4 linked regions of the Callithrix jacchus genome follow. The protein of the gene in region 2 purifies or fractionates together with the protein of the main gene of each other region. This does not show direct contact. Links are inferred from orthologs where the notes say so. Each region holds a gene or a part of one and is shown on either strand. Other genes may lie near its edges.

What was found. Proteins that work in one complex are often made in the same cells at the same time.
Region 1: the proteins of VDAC1 (region 2) and BSG purify together in Homo sapiens (affinity purification with mass spectrometry; 3 studies listed by BioGRID, with this or other methods). This does not show direct contact. The link is inferred for Callithrix jacchus from reciprocal best matches to the Homo sapiens genes VDAC1 and BSG.
Region 3: the proteins of VDAC1 (region 2) and RAB7A purify together in Homo sapiens (affinity purification with mass spectrometry; 3 studies listed by BioGRID and IntAct, with this or other methods). This does not show direct contact. The link is inferred for Callithrix jacchus from reciprocal best matches to the Homo sapiens genes VDAC1 and RAB7A.
Region 4: the proteins of VDAC1 (region 2) and RAB2A purify together in Homo sapiens (affinity purification with mass spectrometry; 3 studies listed by BioGRID and IntAct, with this or other methods). This does not show direct contact. The link is inferred for Callithrix jacchus from reciprocal best matches to the Homo sapiens genes VDAC1 and RAB2A.

The regions. Positions count from the first base shown.
Region 1 is NC_133523.1:534,400-537,899, reverse strand, and holds part of BSG (basigin), read right to left. Parts: intron 1,570-3,500; coding exon 1,222-1,569; intron 247-1,221; coding exon 90-246; intron 1-89.
Region 2 is NC_133503.1:74,330,124-74,333,623, reverse strand, and holds part of VDAC1 (non-selective voltage-gated ion channel VDAC1), read right to left. Parts: intron 2,146-3,500; exon of another isoform or gene 1,931-2,145; intron 1,828-1,930; coding exon 1,755-1,827; intron 1,170-1,754; coding exon 1,120-1,169; intron 312-1,119; coding exon 159-311; intron 65-158; coding exon 12-64; intron 1-11. UniProt on the Homo sapiens protein: Non-selective voltage-gated ion channel that mediates the transport of anions and cations through the mitochondrion outer membrane and plasma membrane.
Region 3 is NC_133516.1:73,346,341-73,349,840, forward strand, and holds part of RAB7A (ras-related protein Rab-7a), read right to left. Parts: intron 3,050-3,500; coding exon 2,831-3,049; intron 1,865-2,830; coding exon 1,736-1,864; intron 1-1,735.
Region 4 is NC_133517.1:16,702,676-16,706,175, reverse strand, and holds part of RAB2A (ras-related protein Rab-2A), read right to left. Parts: intron 2,649-3,500; coding exon 2,537-2,648; intron 1-2,536.

The DNA.
Region 1 (3,500 bases), on a different chromosome or scaffold from region 2:
CAAGCCTGTTCTCACGGCCCACAGAGGCCGATGGCAGCAAGAGAGCGGTGAGAAGGCCACGCAGTGGCGTCGCGGGGCCCGGCACTCACTCCAGGTTCATTCTCTGTCCAGGCTGCGAATCCTCCTGCAACACCACGTCCCCTTTCAGCCAGCGGTGCCCGGTGACCTCTGTGGCGTTGTCATTCAAAGAGCAGGTGAGGAGCGTCTTGGAGCCGACGTTTTCTACGGAGGTGGAAACTGCCCCAGCTGCGAGGCCCGGGGAGACGCAGTCAGCACACAGTGGAAGAGCACAGCCCGCGCTGCCTGCCTGACACCCAGGAACCCACAGCTCCTCCCTGAACGACTTGTTTTCGGCTCTGAAACTACACCGTGGCCCTGACACCCCGAGGGGAACATCTGGCTGCACCTCCGGAAGGTGCCTTTGCTGGCAGCTGATGGGCCCCACCCAGTGATCTCCTGTCCAGAGACACAGGAGGCTGGGTCCCAGGTGTCGGGACAGACAAGGCACCCACCCCGTCCCTGAGCAGGGACCAGGGCACAGAGCTCTTGAGCAGCCCCAGCACAAACTGGAAATTTCTGTCTGAAAAAAACAGCCAAATCGCCCCCCGGCCAAGGCTGCCTCCCTGGCCAAGGCTGCCTCCTTCGACGGCCCCTCAGATGCCCGCTGGTGGAGACCTGCCCCTGGATGGGGCTCCCAGGTGACCCCATCCACCCGATTCCAGGCTGACGGCACTGCAGCACTGGGAGCACCCGGTTCTCCTGCCAATCCCCATCGAGCAAATCTCTTGGTTAATTTACAATGTTCCGGTTAGGACTGAATGTGAAAATCCCTTAGGACGAGACGCTGAGCAGGACACAGAAGGTTCTGAGGGCAGCAAGCCTGGACTGAGGCTGGAGGGCCCCTCAGGCTGGCAGTGTGGACAGACACTCAGGAAAGGAGCCAGGCAGGCGCCCGGGGGAGCAGAGAGGGACGGCGGCACAGACAGTGCAGGGTCGAGGGAGGACAAGGACCCACCTGCTGGAAGGCAGAGCTCTGCCCGCCCCAAGCCAGGTCGCCCAGCGCTGGCGGTCAAGGGCGAGTCCACCCCTTCAGGTCTGGGCCCCCCTGTCCCAGTGGTGGGCCCAGCAGGGCAGAGAGGGGCAGGAGGCGTCTGGGTTCTATCAGCAGGAGCGGCACAGGAGGGAACCAGGGAGGCGGGGAGGGAGGCGCCCGCCACTCACGTTGCAGGACTAGCACCACCGCCTGGGCGCGGACCCACTTGACCCTGGGCGCCCGGGTCAGGTGGTTGCGGTCCGGGTCGTTGCTGGCCCGGCACTCGTAGGTGCCCGAGTCCTCCTCTGCGAGCGTGTCGATGGAGATGGTGCTGGCTGCGTGCTGGCGGTAGGTGGCGTGGATGTGGACGCGGTTCAGCCGGGCGCCGTCCCAGAGCTGGGAGCAGGTGTCGTTGGGACCGTGCCCCTCAAACCACCACTGGATCTCCGGCACTGGGCTGCCCACAGCCTCACAGTGCAGCTCCACACGGCCCCCCACCCGCCTCTGCTGGGACAGTGGCGCCCGCACAAAGCCAGCTGCAGGGAGAGCGGGCGCGGAGCCTCGTTAGTGCCGCCCTGGGGAAGGCCTCGCCCACAGGACTCCTGGCCAGGGCTGGGGGGAAGCTGCTTCCTTTCGGCTTGTGGGAGAGTGACGGGGCTGGGCTGCCAAAGGGCAGCGCATGAGAAAGACCGTGGGAGCCACCGTGGACGCCCCCCTGACTCCCACCCTCCCAGCAGACACACTGGCTTCTGATGGCATAAATGAGGAACCACACGTAGCTTAAAACACAAAACCCATGAAACTGGGCAGAACAGCCAGGAATTTAAGCCCCAAGGGCCTCTCTGTCAGAGGACTGTGGGCATGGCTGCCCCAACTTCCAGACTGCCGGTCCCCAGGGCAGCATCCTCTGCCTTCTGCCCGATACCCTGACCCGAGAGATCCGGTGAGCTGCAGAGAAAATAAAATCCCAAAGCCCACAGGGGCAGGGGGCTCTGTCCAGGAGGCCCCACTCAGGCTGTTAGGACGGCCTGCGGGTGGAAAGTGCTTGTGTCCTCAGCAATCTCAGGGCAGCCACCCAGAGAAGAGGATTTGGGAAGACGGAGCCGGCAGTGCCTCAGGGACCGTTACCACTGGCCCACCACCACTCCTCCCTTCAAAACAGAAGGGAAGGCCCCGGAGCTGAAAGGAGCACAGGAGAATCCACACGCACCCTCCCACTGTGCCTGGCACCCGCCTGCCAGGAACTGCCCTGCCCTGGGGAAGCACGGGGAGCAGGCGCGGGGACTGTGCAGCCCTTCCCTAGAACATCCAGGGTAAACATGCCTCGCCCACCTGCGCCACCTCCTGCCAGGACCGTGCAGCCCGTCTTAGAACACTCAGAGGAAGTGGGGAATGGGCGCACCCCACCCACCTGCAACTCCTGCCAGGACTGTGCAGCCCCTCCTAGAATGCCCTCTGAGGTCAGGCTCCCAGACACCGCTATAACATATGCATTCAAGGACACACGTCCGCAGACACACACCACACAGGCACACACACATGCTCACAGCTCTGAGACTGCATAGCAGTGCACATGTCATGGGCCCCAAGGCCCCAGGGACAGGGGATGTTCACAGCTGACCCCCTGAGGTGAACTCCAGGCAGGAGCAATTAACAACGTTTGGCAGTGCCACTTTCACAAAGGGTCCCCTCCTGGTAACCTACATTTCCCAGACTGCAAAACAGCAGCGACGTGCAGAGCCTGGCGAGGCGAGTCAGGGCAGGAAGTGCAGCCAGAGGCAGCCCGGCTGGCAAGCTCCTTCCGGCCCCACAGTGGCCCCCTCCTTCTCCTCCTCCTCCTCCTCCTAAGGCCCTGCGAAGCTGCCCTCCACATCCTCCTCACTGTCCTCACCCGGGGTGCTAAGGCAGGGCTGGCTCCTGAGTCAACACACCCCACCTTCAGGCAGGGCAGGGCCAGGGCACGGGGCAGAGCAGAGGAGCTGGAGGCCTGCAGCCAACCTGCCCCCACCCACCTTCCCCCCAGGCCCTGAAGAGGCCCCTGTGATCCAGCCTCCAGCCTCGGGAATACCCAGGCGTCCTGTGGGAAACCGAGCCAGCCTGTGCCTCGAAGTCCAAGGCTCTGAGGGGCCGTCTGCACCGGTGACCGTGCTGCAACTGGGTCCTCCACCTTCTCAGCGGGTGGACGGCATCACTCCCAAAGGGACCAAAAGGCTCTGGACAGAACAACCGCCCGTGGGCCCTCCGTTTGCTGATGGCGCTGGTGTCTGTTCTGAAGTGCCACTAGTGTGGGCCACAGGAGGAGAAAGCCTCCATAGAGGCTCCTGGGTACGCTGGAGAGCCCCCCACCCCACCGGGCAACCCGCCCTCCATGCCAGGAGCCTCCACTCAGGAGCACTAGGAGGAGGGGCAGTGCCTGACTCTCAGCCACAGGCCCCAGAAAGGTGAGCATTCGATTCTGGCCACATGA
Region 2 (3,500 bases):
GAGAATCTTACCCAGTGTTAGGTGAGAAGGATGAATCGAAAGTCAGCTTCAGTCCACGTGCAAGCTGAACAGAAAAGAAATTTGCCAGTAGGTTTAGTCACAAGGCAGGCCAGCAGATGTGAATTAATAAGTCCGCATCTTTTCACAGTAGCCATTACCTGATCTTCCAAGGTAATCTCAGTGCCTAGTGTATTGTCGGTGTTCCATTTCTCCGTAAACGTCAGGCCGTACTCAGTCCATCTGTACTTGGTTTCCAGACTGCCCGTCACTTTGGTGGTCTCAGTGTTGGCTGAGCCTGAGCTTGTAAATTCCTTCAAAGGAGAGAGAGAGGCACAGACTGCACCACAGCACTCAATGACTTCACTCCACTCCTTACCAACTATACTTGCCTTTCTGCCCTGAATCGGGGGAGGGGGGAGGCGCAAGCAAAGGCTAACTCTACATTCAAATAGATATTTAAAGTACAGATGGGAGTCAAGGAGCCTACTATGTAAAGAAATCTTATAGGGAATTCATGGTCAGCAGACAGCTTCCTTCCTCCCCGTAACTCTTCAGTCTGGACAGGAAAGCATCACCCTTCTATCTTGGCTCCAGCCCGGTATAGAGAAAAAGCATTGAGCCAAAGAAACTTCTTCCTTCCAACAATTATTGCATTCACAATCTAGAAGGGACTACTAAGATTACGTTAAAAACTCTTACGTGGTTGAACACAGGTGAATTTGAAAATAAGAAGCATAAGGAAAACTAAAACTGAGACCTGCCCCCATTCTCCTCTGAGTATTACCCACTGCTGAATTGGGGGCCTATTGGCATGGTTCCCCTGGACCACCCATCATGTAGAGGATGCACTGAATGTGACAACCATAAACTGCCAGAATTTTTTTTTTTAATACCTTCTTTTGGGTTTGCCAGCCAGGTCATGACAATTATTTCTGATCTACAACAAATACCCATGTTCCATACAATGGTCGCTATTTGGGTAATGGGTACACTAGATGCCCAAACCTCACCATTACACAATACATTCATATAACAAACCTGCACATGTACCCCCTGAATCTAAAATCTTCTTAAAAAAAAAAATAAATGCTAATGTTCCACGTGGGTTGGACTACTTACCAATCCATTCTCAGATTTTGTTTTCAAATCAAGCTTTATTAAGCCAAATCCTAAAGAAAGAAAAGGTAACTTTTAATAGGTTAAATAACTAACTAGAGAACAGCATCTCTGCCTCCCTCACGGTTGCTTCAAAATGCTTTTTTAAAAGAAGCACGCTCCTGCCACAAGGGCTGAGAGCACCCAGTCTCTGCTGTTGCTCATGTGAAGAGCTCAGCTGCCACAGAACAGCAGCAGACAGAATGGGCACAGGCCCACCTGGGCCCCACCTGCACTCCCAGCAAGGACTGAGAAGAAGACACCTGACAGCTGGCAGACTCGGTCACAGGGCCTCGTGGGCATGTGCCTAAGCACAGGCTAAATATAGAAGCCGCGCTCCACTGCAGCAGCTTCCACAGGGCTGCTCCACACTTGGAAAAGAAAACAAGAATATCCACTTGACAGCACCAATGCGGGAGCCCGTCCAACTAGGTGCAGAACCAAAACTGCTTCACTCACTACAGGCGGCTTCTTCTTTCCCTCACATGAAAGTTCTGAACACCTGACCTACCCAGGTCTCCTAAACAGTTATCGGTCAAGTATCAAACATGCCAACTTGGTCTGTTAGCTGAAAGGCACCCCCTCTCTGCAACACTCACCATAGCCCTTGGTGAAGACATCCCTGGCAGATTTGCCAAGATCGGCATACGTGGGTGGCACAGCCATCTTCTGCTACGATAAAAGAATCACCAGAATAAATACATTGGGAATTAGGGAAATGAAGTTTTCCATCAGTAAAAATTATTAGATATAATTAGCAACCAATAGAAATCACCTAGCACTAAGACTTCCAGGTAGCTTATCCTCCCAGGTGTGGGCCAAGAAGCCTTCACTGTCTTGTCCTTCATTTTGTGGCCAGAGCTTGAGGCATTCAATGAGTCTTTGTTGAAGGAGGATCAACACGTTAGACCTCTCCTCCTCAGCATCCTCAGGACTGAGCCCAGGCCCAGAACATAGCAGGAGTCAGGAAATATTTGCTTAATGAATAAACTGTCAAAGACACATACCCATGAGCCAGTGACTGTACTGAATTGCAGGACTCTTGCCAATAAAACATATCCTCTTACAAAATATCAGCTACTAGGACATTAAATGCACCAAACAGAAATCAGAGCTTTTCTTGGAAACACCATTTTCCATGTGGCTCTGATTTCATTCATTCAACAAATATTTATGGAGTACCTACTATATGCCAGGATGGACCCAATTTCTCCCAAAACTTTTGGACTTTATGGGAACCCACTTCATATTTCTAACAGATAATACAGTAAAACCTAACCAATGTGGCAGCTCTTCACATGGAAAAAACCCAACTACTTCCTCCAAATAAATTAAACATTTATTAAGCTCCAGTATGACTTTATTTTAAAAACCAACCATCAAAGGACTACTTGGGATTGCTACATATCACTAAGTCAATCAATAAACATTTATTAAGCACCTCAGTGTTCAAGGAAGGAGAGCAACTCAAATAGTCTTTGCCCTAAGGACCACACTGCATCCCTGGAAGCCTTTGCTTTGGCATGCTGTATATGCTGTGTACACAGGATTAAAATCCTAATCTGGGACTGTATACTGTGTGCTCTGCCCAGGAGGAGAGAGGGTCATGTGTGAGAAAGCCTCATCTCCTGTACCTTCTCCATCCCTAGAATCATTAGTCTCAACTAACCAGAAGGATCGTTCCATTCATTTTTAAAATATAGTATACCTGAATTATCAAATGCATCTGCATATACACCATCTGAAGTTACATGTATATTTACTCACACAAATAAACACATGCATGACTTGCTCCTGGCTAGTGGGAGGGAGCCCACTAAAAAGGGGTTCCAATGATCCCAAGGGAACAATATCACAAATGAAGTTGCATTCTTGAGCAAGGCTTTAACTGCAAAGGCATTGCAGGAGGCCACAGACTCACTGAGTATGTTGTAAAAGAAACAGTATAAACTTCTACAATTTTAAATTGTGAAGCTGTGATCCAGGTCCTACTTTCCTTTTTCCAGATGCTTTGTTAATTTTATCCCAGCTCACTTTTGTGTCAGAGCACAGAAGAGGAGCAAGCTGTTGACTCTGTCCTATTTTTGTCACTGCTGTGTTATTTCTTGCACATGATCGGGCTGGAACCATGGGCAGGTCAGCTCACATTAGGATCAGGGTAGAGAGATGAGGGGGGATGATCCATTTCACACTGCCCGCCACTGGCTCTTTCAAGTCTGGGGCCTTCCTTCTCCCTACGTGTTCCCCCCTCCCAAACTCACCCTGTAGGTACATCCACCCCAGGGATAGACCAGGAAACCACCCACCAGATCCTTAAGAAATACCCTTTGCCTGACCCCTTCCTA
Region 3 (3,500 bases), on a different chromosome or scaffold from region 2:
CAGAGGGACTCAGCCACGATGGTGGCTATTTACTCACCCAAAGGTTGGCAATGTCAGCAGAGTGACAGGTGACACCTATTGCTTGCTGGCAAGGAGGTAGGAGAAAGCAAGCCCACACTGCTGAAATGTTACTCCACCTGGGGAAAACAACCTGGCACCCTAACTTACAATAAAACCCATCTTCCAATCTAAAAATTTAACTCCTTAGAGGCTAGCTCTAAAAATAAAAGCATTATTATAAGACAACAGGGACAGAAGTGATGGAGGAGAAAAACTCTGATGCCAGGCAACAGGGAAACAGGTGGGAAGCACTTTCTCACATGTATTTGGATTTCCATTCCTTTATATGAACATTAAGAAAAACATAACAGTTTATTATATGGGGGTTAGAGTAGCCAAGTCTGCATCTTGGTCTGCTCCTTACAACTTGAGGGCTCTCCTGGCATTCTGGGTGGAACAATTTCCTCACTGGGTAGAGGTCTGTCCCTTTTATTCTGGAACACTTAGTGCAGACCCCACCTATGCCAGAATTTCCCTGGTCCTTGCAGCAACCATTCCAAACAACTCTCTGCCCTACCGAAAGCCATTACCTCCATGCAGCCAGCTTCCTGGAGTCAGCAGAATCTGCCTTGCCCTTCACAGCCACCACACGCTTCAAGTGTTCTCTATATTCCCCCAAATCCACCATACCTCTGACCACCCCTAGATACTGTCTGATGATGCCTCGTGACCTGCCTTAACTCAACACTGCCCCTAACACAGTTGTACATCAAAACAGACTTTCAACTCACATGAGTGGTTATATCTAATCACAGAAACAGTAAATCAGAAATTCTATATACTGTAGCCCTTGAATAGTTTTCCTGTGTTTTCTTCCTTGTGTTGTTTACTTAACTGTTCCTAGGGAAAAAAGTTACCTGTCAGTATGTGAGAGCTGAAAGAGTCTGTCCCATTTAATCTCCATAATCACTCTGCAAAAGCAGGTATTCCCATTTTTCAGGTGAGGGGGTAGAAGTTCATATATATATATATATATATTTTTTTTTTTTGAGACAGAGTCTTGCTGTCACCCAGGCTGGAGTGCAGTGGTGATCTTGGCTCACTGCAATCTCCACTGCCTGGGTTGAAACAATTCTCCTGCCTCAGCCTCCCAAGTAGCTGGGATTCCTGGTGCCTGCCACCAGGCCTGGCTAATTTTTTGGATTTTTTAGTGGAAATGGGGTTTCACCATGTTGGCCAGGCTGCTCTTGAACTCCTGACCTGAAGTTATCTGCCCACCTCAGCCTCCAAAGGGCTGGGATTACAGGTGTGAGCCATCGCACCCAGCCATAATATTTTTTTTTTTAAGCCCAAACTAGATATAATGATTGGTAGGGAGCAGAGCTGGGATTCGTATTCAAGTTTACTTCCTCCTTAAATAGAAGCAGCAATCTGATAGGGGTCTCCCAGTGACCTGCTCTCCCAATTGCATGAAAAGAAAACAAGAAAAAGCCTAGTAAAAAAAGGGCAGCCTCAGTCTTCATGGCCTCTGCCTCTTTTAGATTATTCCCCACAAAGTGGGATTTCTGGAAGCTTAAGCAGAACATGTCATAACCTTCCCAGATGACCACATAGGGTTTTCTGGCTATATAGAAAAGAGTAGGCTAGGGAAGAAGATTAAGGACAGGAGGCCAGGCATGAGCTGGGTCAGTGGTCAGGCATCACCAGAGGGGCTGATCAGCTGTGGGAGACCCACCTGTTTAAGTGCATTCCGTGCAATTGTCTGGAACGCCTGCTCCACGTTGATGGCCTCCTTGGCACTGGTCTCAAAGTAGGGAATGTTGTTTTTGCTGTAGCACCAGGCCTGTGCCCGCTTTGTGGCCACCTGAAAGAAGCAGGGTGCACACAGGCTCATGACAGAAGCCGCCAGCAGTGACTCCATCCTCCCCAGGAAGTGTCATGGCCCCTTGTCTATAGGTGGTACAGGTGAGGACAAAGACTTAGAGAAAGAGGGTATTGGAGGAGATCTGCAGACCCATCCAAACTCGCCCTGCTGGCTATGTTCAGGATAGCTAGGATTCAGCAAGACAGCTCAAAGCCTGTCTCGGTCTATAGCCCATACCTTCTGACGCTCCTTTCACAAACCTTAAAAGCCATTTGTGAATGGAGTAAGAAGCCAGTCCAGGAAGAAATGAAGAGTGTTTACTGGGACCTCAGAGATCCCAGAACAGGAATTGCTCAGCAGCTTGGTCTTAAGATGTATAGTCCCTTCCCCATTACTGCTAGTGTGATGTCACCCATGCCACTCACACGTTCTCATTCCTTCCCCAACCCCTAGCCCAATTTCAGCCAAGAGATAAGGACTAAGTCACTTAGGAAGGGGAGAAAAAGAGATCCATGGTCAGAAATAAACCTTGTTGTAATTAATCAAAGAGTCTATGTTTCCAACAGAAATGATATTTGAAAGTACAGTACAGCAATTTCACTCAAAGCCCAAAGCAATATTCTGCACACACAGAGATCCAGGCATGGCCTGGAGGTGCTGGGAGGCGACTACTAAGAATAACAAAATCGAATTCCCTCTTTCAAAGTTCAGAAAGGGAACTGAAGCTCAGAGAGCCAAGAAAATGGTCCAAAGTCACAGCCAGTTGGGGGCAGCATGGGGACTTAATTAACCCAGGTGAGTGGGTCCTGGTCCTTAAAGGCCGCTGGCCTGAAGGGCTCGAATAGGGTAAAAAGACTTCCACCAGCACCTCCTACAGACCTGTGAGCTTAGCAGGGAACTCTCCAAATTCACAAGGCCCCTGGGGAGCAGGTGAGTGTGACAATGCCTATCATCATTGGTACTTACTTGTCTGTTTTCGAGGTCAATCTTGTTTCCCAACACAACGAAGGGGAAATTTTCAGGATCTCGGGGACTGGCCTGGATGAGAAACTCATCTCTCCAGCTATCTAGGGTTTTGAATGTGTTGGGGGCAGTCACGTCAAATACCAGAACGCAGCAGTCCGCACCTCTGTAGAAGGCCACACCAAGAGACTGGAACCGTTCCTGTCCTGCTGTGTCCCATATCTGTGAGAGACAAAACATTTATTCCTTGGGAGAATGCTGGCAGAGCACCATGAGTGTGTATGCCGAGGTGCCAGAGGAAATGGGCTAGATTGTGGAGTCACCCACAAAGACAAGTGACACCAGACATCAGGAAGCAAATTTCAGCACCAGAGTATCCAAAACAATCCTCACAAATAGTATATGTGAGTATGTGTCTATGAACGGGTGACACTGAGTCCAACCTCCAGGGTACTAGAAATTTCCTATATCTTGATCCAAGTAGTGGTCACATGTAGGTGGTGTATAAAAGTTGAGCTATAAACGTTAAGACTTAAGTACTCTGGGAACTTTCTGAGTGCAATGGAAATACAGGGAGGTGAGGTGATTACTCACGAATGATACAGTTCAATCCATGTATTTTACTGTATGACAAGTTTGCCTAAACAATATAAAAGATTAGTATGTTTTATTT
Region 4 (3,500 bases), on a different chromosome or scaffold from region 2:
CTCCAGCCTGGGTGAGAGCAATACTCCATCTCGAAAAAAAAGAAAGTTTATGCATAATAAAAATCTCAACATTAATTATTATTTGTTAGGTATATGCTAAACATATATGGAGAGAACTATCTGTATAAAAATTTGCTCTCTGCAGAAATGTGACATCATAAAGAGCTCTTGTGAAAAAGTCCTATGAGCAAAAATTTAACAATTTGAAAAAGAAAATCTGTATTCTTTAAGGATTCATAAAAATACCATTAAGCTTCTATAGACATTTTCCATATTTTAACATTAGTATTTTATGGTGGTTGGGAGGCCTCTTCTGATGAATTTTCATTTTTAAAATTGTCATCATGGTGTTAAAGGACTGAATTTAATTAGTTTAAGTTGTATGTACAGCTGTGTTTTGATTAAACTTTTTGTTTTAAGGCAATTATAGATTGCTCTGTATTATTATTATTATTATTATTATTATTATTGTGTGAGATGGAGTCTTACTCTGTTGCCTAGGCTGGAATGCAATGGTGAGATCTTGGCTCACAGCAATCTCCACCTTCTGGGTTCAAGTGATTCTCCTGCCTCAGCTTACTGAGTAGCTGGGATTACAGGCTCCTGCCACCATGCCCAGATAATTTTTGTATTTTTAGTAGAGATAGGGTTTCACTACGTTGGCCAGGCTGAAATTAACTTTTTCATACTGGCTGGGTTGTGGCAGTTTATGTTTTTGGATAAACTGGTCTATTTCCTCTAAGTTGTCATATTTATGTGGGTAGAGCTGTTCATGGCATTCCCTAAATACCTTTTTTATGTCTGGAGAATCTGTAGTGATAGTTTCTGTTTTGTTACTGACATTGGTAACTTGTACCTTTTCTGTCAGTTTTGCTAGAGGTCTGTTAATTTTACTGATGTTTTTAAAAAAAATCCAGCTCTGTTTCACTGGTTTTTGTTTTCAACTTAATTGATCTTTGCTCTTTAATATTTCCTCCCTTCTATTTATTTTGGGTTTTTCTTTTTTGTAATTTTGCTTTGGGTTCTTGAAGTAGGAGTAAAAATAATTAAGAGACTTCTTGTCTACTGTATTGTAAAATACTATACATGACTAATATTTTACCTAAGAAAGAATTCTTCAGTGAACATACCAATGCTGTGGAATTACTGTAGTAAATTTTTAGGTTCAAGAGTTAATCAGAAGAGCTCCAAACTATTATTCTTTTTTTTTTTCTGAGACAGAGTCTCACTCTGTCGCCCAAGCTGGAGTGCAGTGGAAAGACCTTGGCTCACTGCATCCTCTGCCTCCCGGGTTCAAGTGATTCTCCTGCCTCAGCCTCCTGAGTAGCTGGGATTACCGGTGCCTGCCACCACGCCCAGCTAATTTCTGTATTTTTAGTAGAGATGGGGTTTCACCATGTTGGTCAGGCTGGTCTTGAACTCCTGACCTCAAGTGATCCCGCCTTGGATTCCCAAAGTGCTCGGATTACAGGCATGAGCCACTGCATCCAGCCTCAAGTATCATTCCTAATATTTACTGACAGCTTACTATGTTGAAGGCACATGATGCTAGCTGTTGCCCAGGACCCGGACCTCTGTTATCCTTACAGCAATAATTCTTCAATCATTTGTTTTTTACAACTACTTTCTGTAGTTGCTTTTATAAGCTGTTCTTATCCAGAAATTGGGAACTAAGCATTACTTTGGGTAAACTACTACTTTTCTTAGCTTCATTATCTCTTTTTATAAAATAAGAGTATAGTAATACACAGAAAGGATCAATCATGCAATCATCTATTTATAGTATGTATATACATACCACCTCCAAACACATATAGCATAGAAAAATACACTGTGTTCAGAAAAGTTCCAATAGTTGAGGTTGACCAATGGGAATAATTGAGATAATACAAATTTCTTCAATAGATGAAACAGAATTCTCATGCTTTGTAAAACGTTACACATCAATAACATACTATTTTAAACAGAAGTGGTAATGTGGTAATATACTGACAGTTAAAAAAATACGATTTAAAAAAATAGCAGAAGTTGATACAAACAGCTACAAATATTTTGGTGTCTTGAAACATTTCCAAATTTCATTAGTATTCTTTATTTCCCTCCCATGCAACACAAAAAAGTCCAATATATTTATATCTTTGAGTATAGTGGATTCTCAAAGAGAGCCATTTTGCTCAACATAATTTGAAAGAGCAGAACTATACTATCCTCCTCCATTGGCCAGACTGACTGAGTTTCTATGAATGTGATTAAAATATAACTCTAAGAAACTATAGAAAATTGTTTAGAAAAAGAGAGGGAAGAAAAATATGTACAAAGATGTAAGAAAGCATTCAGGCTTTAAGGGAAGGCTCAATATAAGATTCTGACAGAAGATGAATGTTACAAGCCATTTTAAAGGGAAGAAATTTTCCTACTTTATGATGTTCAAAGACCATCAGACTAAAATCTTAAAGTAAATAATAAATGAAATGAAGATATATAAAACATTTCTATTAAGTAAAAAGATGAACCTTTTAAAGGGCCTTTTATTTACCTCTTCTACATTGGAAGCAGTCTTAGCAGACGTTTCCATGAAGATAAGTCCATGTTCTCGTGCAAAAGCTTCACCTTCTTCTTTTTTTACTTCTCTTCTAGATTCTAAATCACTAAATATGGGAAAGAAAGGGTCACATTATTAATCAATATGGTACAAATAGAGGCATTTGTATAAAGTACAGCATGGAATTCAAAGTTGTGATGACCATTCTTTTAATTAATATTTAACATACTAACTGTACTATTCTGGGTATTCTGAGGGTTAGTACTTAGAACATATGTCTAGTTTGAAAGAACTAACAATCCAATAGAAGAAGTCTGTGTTAGAGTTCTAAAATGCTAGAACTAGCCATAACTTAAGGGAGCCTCTAGTCCAATACCTATATTTTGAGTACAGGGGATTCCCACAGAAGAGAGCCATTTCACTCAACATAATTTGAAAGAGCAGGACTATACTATCCTCCTTGATTGGCCAGACTGACTGAGTTTCTATGAATGTGATTAAAATAGCTCTCAGAAACTATAGGAAATTGTTTAGTAAATCCAAAGTACTAAAGAGACACTAGGTCACTGATCTCAGTTTGTTTAATTTCCAATTTCTTCTTAAAGCAAAACTGATATAGACAGAGAAAGAGAGAGAAGGAGGGAGGGAGCGAGGAGAGAGAGATAAAAGGAGAAAGAGAGGGAGAAAGTGTAAGCTAGAAATTTCCAATGAAAGGAGGGTATTAGTGAGGTCGGTGGTGGGGAGGGGAGTAGCAGTCTTTTTCAAAGTGTGTTTTATTGTAAAAGTTAAAAAACTTTACGACTATATTTACTACTTTTTATTTAGATATTATTTACTACTATATATTTATACATGGAAAAAGATATAGGATAATATAATATCTATATACTTCCAGCTAGCCTTGACATATTATTTGCCAGATTTCAGGTTTCTTTTAAGAAATAAAATCAGCAATAGC